Struthio camelus: one gene and its partners. The main gene of each other region encodes a partner of the protein of the gene in region 2 in a complex. Links are inferred from orthologs where the notes say so. Each region holds a gene or a part of one and is shown on either strand. Other genes may lie near its edges. The genes, in order: PPIF, VDAC1 and SPG7.

Region 1 (3,746 bases), on a different chromosome or scaffold from region 2:
TTTTAGCTGTTATTTTTTGAGAACAAGTAAGATTAAGCAGGATTGAAAGTTTGCTATTTCTCTTGTAGGGTGCTGTCCTCGTGTGACTCTGTCATGCTGTATTACTGAAAGCGTTGTATTATTCTAACCTCCATAAAGGTAATTTATAATACAAAGCACATGAAAATTACAGGTGTATAATTATTAGAATCACCCTTGATTTTCTTTTGTTTGAAGTTAAGAATCACTGTAGGAGCTATTTTCCCCACATTCAAGAGCTGTAAGTTTTAACAAGGATAGCCTGCAGTACTATAGATAAATGCTATCTTGTTCTGGTGATTTACTGCCTTAAAATAATCTGTATAAAACTATACATCCTTTTTAGAAATGTCAGTCTTCACAGAAACATTATTTCCATCCTGGAAACTGAAAGGGCAGAATAAGCAGGCAATGCCATATATGTGCAGAGTTGCACATATACGCTGCAGACTCAGTGCTCCTGTTGTGTGCCATTAAGGCAAGACTTGATCATAAATGAAAAGCATCAGGTGTTCTGGGTCCCTTTCGCTTTGGGTATAACGTGGCAGAAGACCGTGAACGTAGCACGCTTGCGTCAGTTTGTTGTGGAGGAGGGCAGAAATTTTTCTGCTTATTTTCAGTGAAAAACTTGGTCTTTGATACCAGCGGGCTCACAGTAATGATAAGACTCCTGGTTAAAGAAGTATTGATACACTGATGGCAGGCTGTGGTTCAGCTAGTAATGTGGAACTGCACTGTGGTTATTTAGATGAAATGAAATGAACGAAGACTGCAAAATAAAAACGATTCGGTTTTAAAGACAGAGAAAACGTTTATTGGCTTACAAAAGGAGTTGTCTCGCTCCCGGTACGCGAATGGGAGAGCTTTCTTCGACTTCACAAACCAGCACCAAGCCCACAGACAACCTGTGCAACTAAGAAAAGTAAAAAATTTGTACACGTTTTTATATACAGAACAAGGATGCTAACTGGAAGGGATTTCAAAATAACATCTGAAATACAACTACAGTATATACCGATCACTAAATACTTCCATCTAAATTACTAAGTTGTGATAAGTAAAAGTTTTTTGGGTTTTTTTTTTGGTTATTCAGACAAAACAGAAACGAAGTTTCTGTTTTGTTTTCCCCTCAGCACCCGCGCCCCCCGCGCCCCCCGCGGCTGCTCGGCGGCGGCCGCGCTCACCCGCCCGGGCGGTGGCGCCCGCTGCCGCGCGAGGCCGCGCAGCCCGGCCCGGCCGCCGCGTCGCGCTGCGCGCCGCCGCCGCTAGGGGCCGCGCCGGCCCCCGCCGGCGGGAGCCATAAAAGGCGGCGGTGGCGGCGGCGGCGGCAGTAGCGCGTGGTGGCTCTGCCCGTCCGTGCCCGCTCGGCTGTGCCATGCTGGCGCTCAGCGCCGCCCGCCGCCTCCTCCGCCCGCCCGCCGACCTGCCGCTGCCGGCGCTCGCCTGCGCGCGGGCGGCCGCGGCCCGCGGCTGCAGCTCGGGTGGCGGCGGCGGCGGCCGGGGGAACCCGCTGGTCTACCTGGACGTGGGCGCCGACAACCAGCCGCTGGGGCGCGTCGTGCTGGAGGTGCCGGGCCGGGCCGGAGCGCGGCGGCCGGGGCGGGGGGCGCGCGGCCGGGGCCGGCGGAGGGGGGGGGGGCGCGCGGCAAGGTCGAGGCGGGCGGGAGGCGGGGGCGGCGGTTGCCGGTGGCGGTTGGCGGTTGGGGCGGGGCGGCGGCGCGCGCCGAGGTGACCGTCGGCGGGGGGCGGGCCGTTGGGGAGCGCAGGCGCCGAAGCGTCTCGGCGGTTGGCGGCGGCGCCCGGGCGTTAATGGCGGGGCGCCGCCTGGCCGCAGGGCCCGCGCTGTTGCCCCTGTCCGTGGCGGCAGGGTCGCGAGGGCTGCCGGGTGCCTCGTCTGCCGGCGACGGCGGGGCGCGGCCCCGGGGCCGCCGGGTTTCGGCGGGTGGCCCTGCGCCGCCCAGGTGCGGGTCGCAGTGGGGGGCCCTCCGGTGGAGTCTGTGAAGTTGCTGTTACTGTGTTGTTCGACGCGGCTGTCGGAGTTTGCTGCGGTTAGTCTTCGTTAACTGGCCAAAAGTTGCCTTAGAGAGGCCGTCGTTAATTATTAGCCAAACACTTGGGAAATCGTGCAGTGTTTCTTCAAAGCCTGGGTGGCTTGTGATTTCGGGTAGCCCTCTTCAGAAAGAGGGTTTGGTTTCGCCGGCCTCAGGTGCAGTGTTTTGTCCATGTGTGTAAGCAAAAGCTGACTGACTGATTTTTCTTTCCCTGAGCAGCTGAAAGCTGATGTGGTTCCAAAGACAGCGGGTAAGGCAGCATCTCCAGGATCTCACACTGTAAGGTTGTGATTTGCAGGAAAAACATTCTGTTACCCTTTGGGAGCTACTTCCATGTTCCTTCCTCACTTGTTAAATAGAAAAATATGACCTAAATCTTGTCCAGAGCCGTGCTAGTGACGTTAGGGTTTCCTGTAGTTTTTTTCAGATAGCTTTACTTCATCGTTTGCCTGCAAGGACGGAACAGCCCATGTGTTGGGCTACCAGTGATGGGTAAATGTGTTTAGACGCCCTTTAGTTTTCATTAAAATCAAATCCCAAAACAAATAGGAAAGGGTAGACCAAAGGGATGGTGTCTCTTAGTCTGCTAGTAACATACACAGTTTTGTTTTTCTTGTCAGCAGTTGATCAGTGAACTTCAGTTACGAAGTTAGGTTTTTTGTTTTGGGTTGTTTTCCCTTCATGTGCTTCCTTCCTCATTGCCTTTAGTGGTCCTGAGAAATTCAGAGTTTGGTTTCAGTTCCTAGCAGATAAATATTCTAAGAGAAAAATATCATGTTTGCAGTTAATTTAGAGAGTGAAAGCTTAAAAGGCAGAAAATGACTGGTTTTTTTTAACTTAAGATATAGCAGCGAAATGAAAGGGAGAAGAGAGGGAGAAGGGTTGCATTTGTACCTCGTTCTGAGGCTAAACAGAAGTTTTGTTTCCAGAGCTTTAGGCCAAAGTTTTTTCAAAGATGAAAATAATTTAAAAAACAACAATGCCTTAAAGGTGTAATAAGCTTTTTAAAGAATATAAACTGAGGACCTAATTAACTTAATTGAGTTTGAGTATATCGAATGTAATGTGCAGCAACATACTATTTTATGCTTTGTTTTCACAGAAAATTTTAGAGCTCTTTGTACTGGTGAGAAAGGTTTTGGGTATAAAGGATCCACGTTTCACAGAGTGATTCCTTCGTTTATGTGCCAGGTAATGGATTTTTTTTGCTATGAAATGTGTATATTTATGTGTGTGTGTATACACACACATATATATTCTAGAACCTAGAAAATATATATATATATATAGACTAGTAGTAACATCTGCTCTAACCTTTGCTAATTACAGAATAAGGAAGTGATAACGTGGCTTCATTTCTGACCTTTTTGCTGTGGCTGTAGCATATCGCTTGTACAAGCAAATGCAAATTCTGTGGGAGTGGCTTTAAAAAAAAAAGGGCTTAAGACTCTGCTTTTTTTTTAAATAGCAATATACTTTATTATATCGGCAAATAGTCTTCCCTATATTGGCTTATTTGGCAAAGTGGCACTTGCTTAGGAGAAGCATATGTGCAGAATTACAGTCAACCTTGTGCTGTAAGTGAGCTAAAAAACCAATGTTTCCATTCTTTATTCTTAGTAGCATAATCTGTTTAGAGCAGACACGTGTTTAAAAAACATTTTTTTTCTGAACATC
Region 2 (3,746 bases):
ATTAGCCAGCGTTAATGATTAACAAGCATTTGCCACTGAGGATGAGAAACAGGTTGCAGAATAAATATAAAAAAGAAGAAACTTCTTCTGCCTTTCAAAACAGTTAATTTTTTGCTTCCTTAACAGGAGACCTGCATGAATGATTAGTTAACTATTTCTGGCAAGCATTTCTCCTGTTACTTGCAATTAATCTGTGTATCCTGTTGCAAAGAATTTGGACCCCAAGTCACCCAACTTTAATTTTGGAAATCCCAGGACAGTCATCTAGCATCAGTAACACCTATCTCCCCCTACTTCACAGCAGCAATTGGATAACACGTTAGCAAAAGCAACAAATAGTCATTCTTCATCTACCATTCAATTTTCTTTGACTTTGGTACAGCTGTTAATGCATTAAGATTTCTCCTTAGTCAGTGATTTTTTTTTTTTTCCTGTTCATCAACTAGGGGAAAAACTGAGCTTACTGAGAAAAATTAGGACTGAAAGGATGCCACGTTGTGAGTATCTAGAAATCAGCTAGTCAGGAGGGTAGGTGCTGCCCCTGTTCAGCAATCAAACCTAGATTAGAGCTCTGTGCAAGACCTGGAACGAGGTCTCAGCACAAGGGTAAAGACACTGGAGCCCAGTAGGGGCAGCCTCCTCAAACTTCATGTTGCGCTCTTATTTAGGCCCTCAGATTCACGCGTTCAGCAGGTTCTGACCATTCTTAATTCAATGGCCTCCTGCAAGAAAGGAGAACACATCCCATTTTCTCAGCCACCAAGACTCTCATTGCATACAGAGGAGAGTATGAGCCTGAGAGGAAAGAACAAACAAACCGAATTACTTCCTTATTGAAGTACAGTAATTTGTTCTATGGAACCAGTCATATTCAAACCATCCGAAGTGGTGTACACCTTCTTTCTTCATGTTCAAGATTTCATAAAAAAGCAAAGGAGAAATCATCCTCATAAAGCTGGTTCTCTTAATACCAGATTTTGCACTAAAATTCTACATTCGCAAACACTTTTTGGTTATGGAGCATTAATAATAAGCTTATTACATACGAGTGAAAATGTTTTGTTGAGAATTGCCTACTAATCCTGATTCCAGACTATTCAACGTTAGCAGAAAACTATTCTTTTAAATCACAAACAAACCAGCTGTCTGCAAACATGAGGGAGTGCTCACAGTATTCAGAGTATCTACTCTGGCTGTAGACTTGGATTCAGTTCTTCATTCAAGCACACCACCCCACGTTTATCAGATAGGGAGTTTCAGCAGTCACTTAACGCCTCAGGCAACTCCATTCAAGAAGCTGTTGCCTGTTAAAGCACGATACCCGCTATTGCATAAGTGAAGAATCCCTATCCTAGAGGGTGCAAAACAGATCTGTTGGCTCAAAGCAAACAGTCGTCTTAGAACACAAATATAAGTAGGATTCAAGGGTGCATACTATGATGTAGCTTCAGTTGCTGAGACTGTACTCGGAGGCATCAGAGTCCTGTAATTTTTTCCAGTTATATTTCATTAGTAAGTTGCAGCCCCAAATACCTAAGCCGTTAAGTAGTTAAATAAAAACACAACGTATTCCATATTCCAAAGCCGTTTCAGCTGCTTATATAAGACCTAAATGTCTCTGGTTTTGTGCCAACATGAAAGCCAGAACGTAAAGTTTATAAGCATCACTCTCTACAGGAGAAACCATTTTAAGAGTTGGTCATATATGGGGTTCTGGAAACAAAAAAATAGGCTTTAAAAGAAGAAAAAAAAACCATTAACAGATTTATTTCTAAGTAATTCCTCTGCTTTTTATTAGGGTCACTAAAAACAAAGTACAATGCCACTGTTGGAGATCATACCAACTTAGGGTTAGAGCTAAGGGAGCACTCAAGAGAGGACAGAGAGCCCAGAACATCTTGAGATGATCCACCAGGGGCTGTATGTATTCAGGAAATGCTTCTTTCCAGTCAGGGCAGCGCAGTCTCATTAGAATGCTCTGATGGGTATTTCCACTTAGCATCATCAATAAATAAAAGTGTTAAAAACCCTTACATCAAAAAAGCAAATAAGTATCGCTTTGAAAGATAATGCATCCTTCTATCGGCTGCATTTCAGAATCTACCAGATGTATTTTGAGTTCATCAACAGTTACTTTGAGTTACTTCTTAAAAATCAATGTATTTTCTGGAAAACTGAATACTGTATGTTTTTGGTTTGGGTTCTGCTGGGTTTTTTTGAGGTAGGGGGCTGACTAATTTTCCTTTATCAAAGCCCATAAAGCCAAATTAGGCTCTCACCAATATTTGCATATCTCCACTGATCCACAGAGTCCGGATGTACAAAGTGCAGCAGAATGCAGTCCGTCCCCAGTGCTCAGCCATAAGGCGTTACTTAGCAGCGGGCTATCAGCAGGGAGAGGCAACCATGCTTGTAAGATGAATCAGCTGTGACATGCTGCTCTACTGTAGCAGTCTAGGCTGTGGTTATAGGACAGTGGGATATGTCTAGATCTCCACTTCTGCAATTACTATAATTAAGGAAGCATATTGACAGCTAAATCCATGTCCATTGTAAGGCTATTTGTAAGGCAAATCATGTAATGCACACGGAACAAGGCATTTAAAATTGCTGAGCGTGGAAAACACTCTATGAAATATGTATGTGGTGGTTAACCTTACTGTTGTTGCCATCAAGGAACAAAAATAATTATTTCTGTTTGCACTAGCTAATCTATGTTCAGAAGCCTCTTGTTTAACAGATGGAAAACAAAACTCATTACATTCTGTGCAACCACAGGTTGGAAGACAAGCATGCTTAACAGGGATTCAAATTCTTAAAGGATCAAGGAACAGCCACATGGCCAAGTGCCCTTGCTTTTCACTGGTGGAATCCCAGGACATAAATTCAGATTAGGAGCGAAATGATTTCATTGATTTTATCCTTGTCCAATAGCGCAAATATCTCAGAGTGACTACATAACCTCAACTCCTGCACAAAGCAGACCAAGGAGAACATATACCCACGTTCCAGGAAGGAAAATATTTTGTTCTGAAGGAGTAGGAAGTACTGTAGTGCATATCATGACTGAAATACTGCAAAACAACTTTCAGAAAACCTGAACTAAGGACTTAGCTCAAAGTGGTTGTTATGAGCACCACCCAAATGAACGCTTGATTTGTAACTGTAAAAGGGAGAAAACATGGAGTTTTCTTTGGAGCTGTAGGACACAAGAACCAGCCCCAGTGAAGAAAACTGCATTGAATACAAGGCAGTTCCAGCAGGGCTGAATTTGACTCTAAGTATTTTCAAGACAGATGTCAAAGTCTTTACTCCACAATACAATTTTGGGATATTAACTCAGAATTAGTCTAATAGGCAGCAGAGCACTGAGGTGTCCTTTGCAAATGTAAGAACTGGCTGCAACCACAGGGAAAACCACGGTGCCCTTTCCCTTCCTGTGCTGCCACGAACCTGCGCCTTGAACTGGCGCTGAAACTTGCCTGCCGCTAGTCACACGCAAGCTCACATGCACTCGGTTTCTCATGCCTTCCTTTCAGGCACCAGCTCATCTGGGGCGAGACAAAAACTAGCTGTCCCACTGATCCGCATTTATATGGATGTGACAAGAGACTTCATCCTTCAAATTCAAATTTTTGCTTGATCGCTCTTTTTCATGACTAAGTTAAAGTTTCCCAACACAGACTGATCAACTTTATGATATTTACATGCGGGGAAGGACCTATTTAAAAATTAAAGATAAGAAT
Region 3 (3,746 bases), on a different chromosome or scaffold from region 2:
AAGGTGGATCTTCCACGCTGTCCACTTCTATCCCTCACACATGCTTGAAAGGTTCATTTCATTAAACATCCTTTTGGCACATACATACCCTCATCCTCCTTTGGAGATTTCTTTTTGAATCCTCCATTCTTATGGTTACTCCCCTGAGAGCTTGAAGTAGTAAAATAATAAGTGCCACCTGCAGGCAAGCAGAGTTAAGCAGTTACTGACAGAAAACCTCAGGTCAAAGCGAGAAAAAGGGACAAAGGACAGAAGAAATACATATGAGCTCCAAATGCACAGAAAGCTAAGTTCCACACCCACCCAGGCGCACAGCCTCTTCTGTATGCCAAGGCAATGGGACAGCCTCACCAGAGGCAGTAACAGGAGGGACAGGCTCCTTCAATCTTCTTATATATTTTTTGACAACCTCATCAAAATATAGTTTTGTTCAGACATTAACGTGGCAAAGAAAATCATTTGGAGAACGTTCCAGTGCTGGAACGTTCACACATTTCCCAAAGCACAACCAAAGTTAACGCTGGTATGATCAGTTAACAACAGCCTCATACTAGGAATTGTAAGTGTTTATTAAAGGAAATGTATGTGCTAGAGCTGAACGCAGGATTCCTCAGTAATGTCATTAGGACACTCTAATAAAAGCCAAGAAAGTAAAGATACAATCAGCAAAACTCTCAGTTGCTGCTAAAAAAGACAATCAGCAGAGGCTTTTTTTGGCAGGGAAATGAAAAAAGCTCACAAGCAAAACAACTGACTTAAAGACTGCAGCTTCCATTTCCCATGGTCTTTCACAAAGGCAGCAGAAAGGGGTGCAAGTCCAGGAATCGGGCTGCTTGTCAACTGTTACTTCTTCTAGAGGGTTCTCTACCATTTCAAAGACTGTGCAGATTCCTAACTAATTTTAAAAGGAGAAAAAAAATTTTTTTTTTTTTGAACTCTTCAAGATAAGGCAGCCCAAGCTCACCAGGTCCACACTGGCCAGAATGGCAGCAACAACTTTTGTTCAAATCTCAAAGGCATCAGCAAGCCCGTTTTCCCAGTATGAAGACGGCAGGGAGAAGAATAACTACTTCTGTTGTACGTGTTGGGGCTTCTACTCTTAGAATAAGGATATTTTATATCATACAATTTAACTTGTCCCAAGTTCCAATGCAATGCCTTCAGGAATGAACTCATATGATGCGACTCCTGCCAAAGGTGAGGATATTTTCTTTTTAAGCTTTGCTAATGAGGCACATAAAAATTCTCCTGAAGAGTCTGCAGTTTTTAAAATAGCTTTTCCATCTAAATGACTCAAGTGAGCACTTATCAAATCGAGGTCCTTGGGGAAAGGTGCCACTGTTCAACCCTGTCACCAAACAAAAACTTAGAAGCCTTGTAAGTGATGACACTGCTCCCTAAGCCAAGAGCAAAACAGCTTTATTTCAGTTTCAGGAATACAGGCAGTGAAAGTAAGGAAAAGTCAACACTCTTACTAAACAAGACCTTTTTTTCCTCCCCACCAGTATAGTTGCTTTTAGGGACTCACCTAAGAGTTTCCAAAGCCTGACTGGATCTTGAATTATGTGTTGTTTCACTAGGACTCCACTGAAACCTTGAAATGTGGGGGAAAGCGTTTGTGACGGAAGGCTCTGAGGAAGAGAGGAGAAAGTAAAAAGAGACAACTATTGGAAGAGTACTGCGACTGCTTGCTGATTCTGTACTCCATGAGGCCAAGATTTCTAAAGAATTATGGATAAGTCTTAGCAGCAGCGGCTGGGAGACATGAATATTATTCTTGTTTGTGCTGTGAACTTCCCATGCGACTTTGAGGATATTGTTTATAACCCAATTTTGGGATAGCACATGCATAAATATAAACACGTACTCAAACACTGCAGCCTAAAAACACGATAGAAGCTAATTCTTTCCAAAGAGCAACGAGCTTCGCCTTCTTATGACTAGCAAAACGCAAGGGTACTCCCACAACAGAACTGAAGGACTTTGAAATCTTTAGGCCTTGTAAGCCTTCTGCATGGCAATAAGGATAACACAGCTATTCCTCCTGGTAATTCAGCATTAATCCCACAGCCTACGCTTGCGTTTAAAGGCGGTTTCACAACCTCAGACCTGACAGGAACTACGGCCTGCTGCGAACACAAGCCTCACTCTTTTTTATCCCGTTCAGCCCAGGAGGGCAACCTCTGGGGATCAGTTCTTTCCAGAACAGTTGATACCAGCTTAAATTGAGCACAGAGCTCTGGCAGCAGGCGAACACCCACAGCGGCTGAAGCCTGGCTCGTGTCACAGAGCCGTGTCACAGTTGTTTTCCGCCGTGGCCCGCCAACACCTCTTCGCTCGCTGGGGAAAAACACAGGACGGTGCTAAACCCTGTCGGAGGCCGAATTCAAACAAGCCCCTTTCCCTGCTGCCCTGCGGCGGCGCCTCGGCACGGCCAAACCGCGCCACCGGGAGGCCCAGCAGCGCCGGGGCGGGCACCGGGCCGGGCAGCAGAGCCCTAACGGCGCCCATAACCCCTACCCGCGGCGTCCCCCCCCCCGCCCGCTCCGCCCCGAGCCGCCACCGCCGCCGTTACCTGCAGGAGGCCTCCCGCGCCGTCGGGGCCGCCACCGCCGGGCCGCGGGCGGGCCCGGGCCCAGGCCCAGGCCGCGCCGGGCCGCCGCCGCCAGCAGCAGCAGCGGGCCCGGAGCGGCAACAGCCGCAGCAGCGCCATGCTCCGCGAGGCCTCCTGAGAGGGGGGAAGGAGGAGGCGAGCGGGCCGCGAAGGGTAAGGTAGGGCAGGGCCGGGCCGCGCCCGGGGCCACCGAGCCCGCCGCCGCGCCGGCAGCCTCAGCGGGGGCGGAAACGCTCGGTGAAGCGCGAGCGGCCATCTTGAGAGCGGGCGGGCACCGCCGGAGCTGCCATGGCTCAAGATGGCGGGTGCCGCGGTTTAACGGCCGGGAGGGGCCCGGGGCGCCCCGTGGCCCCGCCCCCTGCCGGGCCCGGCCCGCGCTGTTGCCGCGGCAACGCGGAGGGCCCCTCCCCCCCCTCCCCGGCCGGCCAGCGGGGCGCAGGCGCGGATCGGGCTGCGCTAGGCCCCGGCCCCGACCCCCAGCTCCCACCCCGGCCCCGACCCCCGGCCCGGCCTGGGCCAGGCGGCTCCCGCAGGCGGCCCCCACGGCAGGCAGGCCTCATGGCCCGGTCCCGGCCAGGCCCCGGCCCGGCCCGGCCCGGCCTGGTCAGGCGCCACGGTCTGGCCAGGCCCCCGCGGCCCAGCCTTGGCCAGGACCTGACCCAGGAATCGGACAGGATCTGCACCGCCTCGCCTTGGCCAGGCCGGCCTCTGCCTGCTCGAGGCCTCCAGGGCCGGCAGGTCCCTAGGCCCAGCCCCCCTGGAGCAGGCAGGTCCTTAGGCCCGGCCCTAGCCAGGCCCCCAGCATAGATTTAGGCAGGAGGGGAACAAGCACCTGGGAGGCGCAAGAAGATGACTGCAGGCACAGGAGAGCAGCTGAGGTTGAGGCCACCTGCCATGGCCCCAGAAGCGTGGCCTTGCCAGCAGGGATAGCTGGCACCGAGGGAGCGGGCGGTGCTGAGTCCGGTGGTGTGAGCGTGAGTACACAACTAGCCCCGCTCTGGGATTTTTTCACTCTTTACATCATGTTCCACGTAGTTGTAACAGCCAGGAGAAGAGAGAGAAACAACCTCTGGGAGGTTAGATAATCCAACGCAGAGGAAAGAGGCCAGCTCCCTCCCTTTGCAGCTGGTAC

What was found.
Region 1: VDAC1 (region 2) and PPIF share a complex: the UniProt entries of both Homo sapiens proteins name them as parts of the mitochondrial permeability transition pore complex. The link is inferred for Struthio camelus from reciprocal best matches to the Homo sapiens genes VDAC1 and PPIF.
Region 3: VDAC1 (region 2) and SPG7 share a complex: the UniProt entries of both Homo sapiens proteins name them as parts of the mitochondrial permeability transition pore complex. The link is inferred for Struthio camelus from reciprocal best matches to the Homo sapiens genes VDAC1 and SPG7.

The regions. Positions count from the first base shown.
Region 1 is NC_090948.1:30,148,328-30,152,073, forward strand, and holds the start of PPIF (peptidyl-prolyl cis-trans isomerase F, mitochondrial), read left to right. Parts: upstream 1-1,378; 5' UTR 1,379-1,393; coding exon 1,394-1,585; intron 1,586-2,288; coding exon 2,289-2,319; intron 2,320-3,171; coding exon 3,172-3,260; intron 3,261-3,746. UniProt on the Homo sapiens protein: PPIase that catalyzes the cis-trans isomerization of proline imidic peptide bonds in oligopeptides and may therefore assist protein folding. Involved in regulation of the mitochondrial permeability transition pore (mPTP).
Region 2 is NC_090954.1:3,702,144-3,705,889, forward strand, and holds the start of VDAC1 (non-selective voltage-gated ion channel VDAC1), read right to left. Parts: upstream 2,379-3,746; 5' UTR 2,364-2,378; coding exon 2,280-2,363; intron 1-2,279. UniProt on the Homo sapiens protein: Non-selective voltage-gated ion channel that mediates the transport of anions and cations through the mitochondrion outer membrane and plasma membrane.
Region 3 is NC_090951.1:1,964,369-1,968,114, forward strand, and holds the start of SPG7 (mitochondrial inner membrane m-AAA protease component paraplegin), read right to left. Parts: upstream 2,791-3,746; 5' UTR 2,714-2,790; coding exon 2,576-2,713; intron 1,632-2,575; coding exon 1,529-1,631; intron 179-1,528; coding exon 89-178; intron 1-88. UniProt on the Homo sapiens protein: Catalytic component of the m-AAA protease, a protease that plays a key role in proteostasis of inner mitochondrial membrane proteins, and which is essential for axonal and neuron development.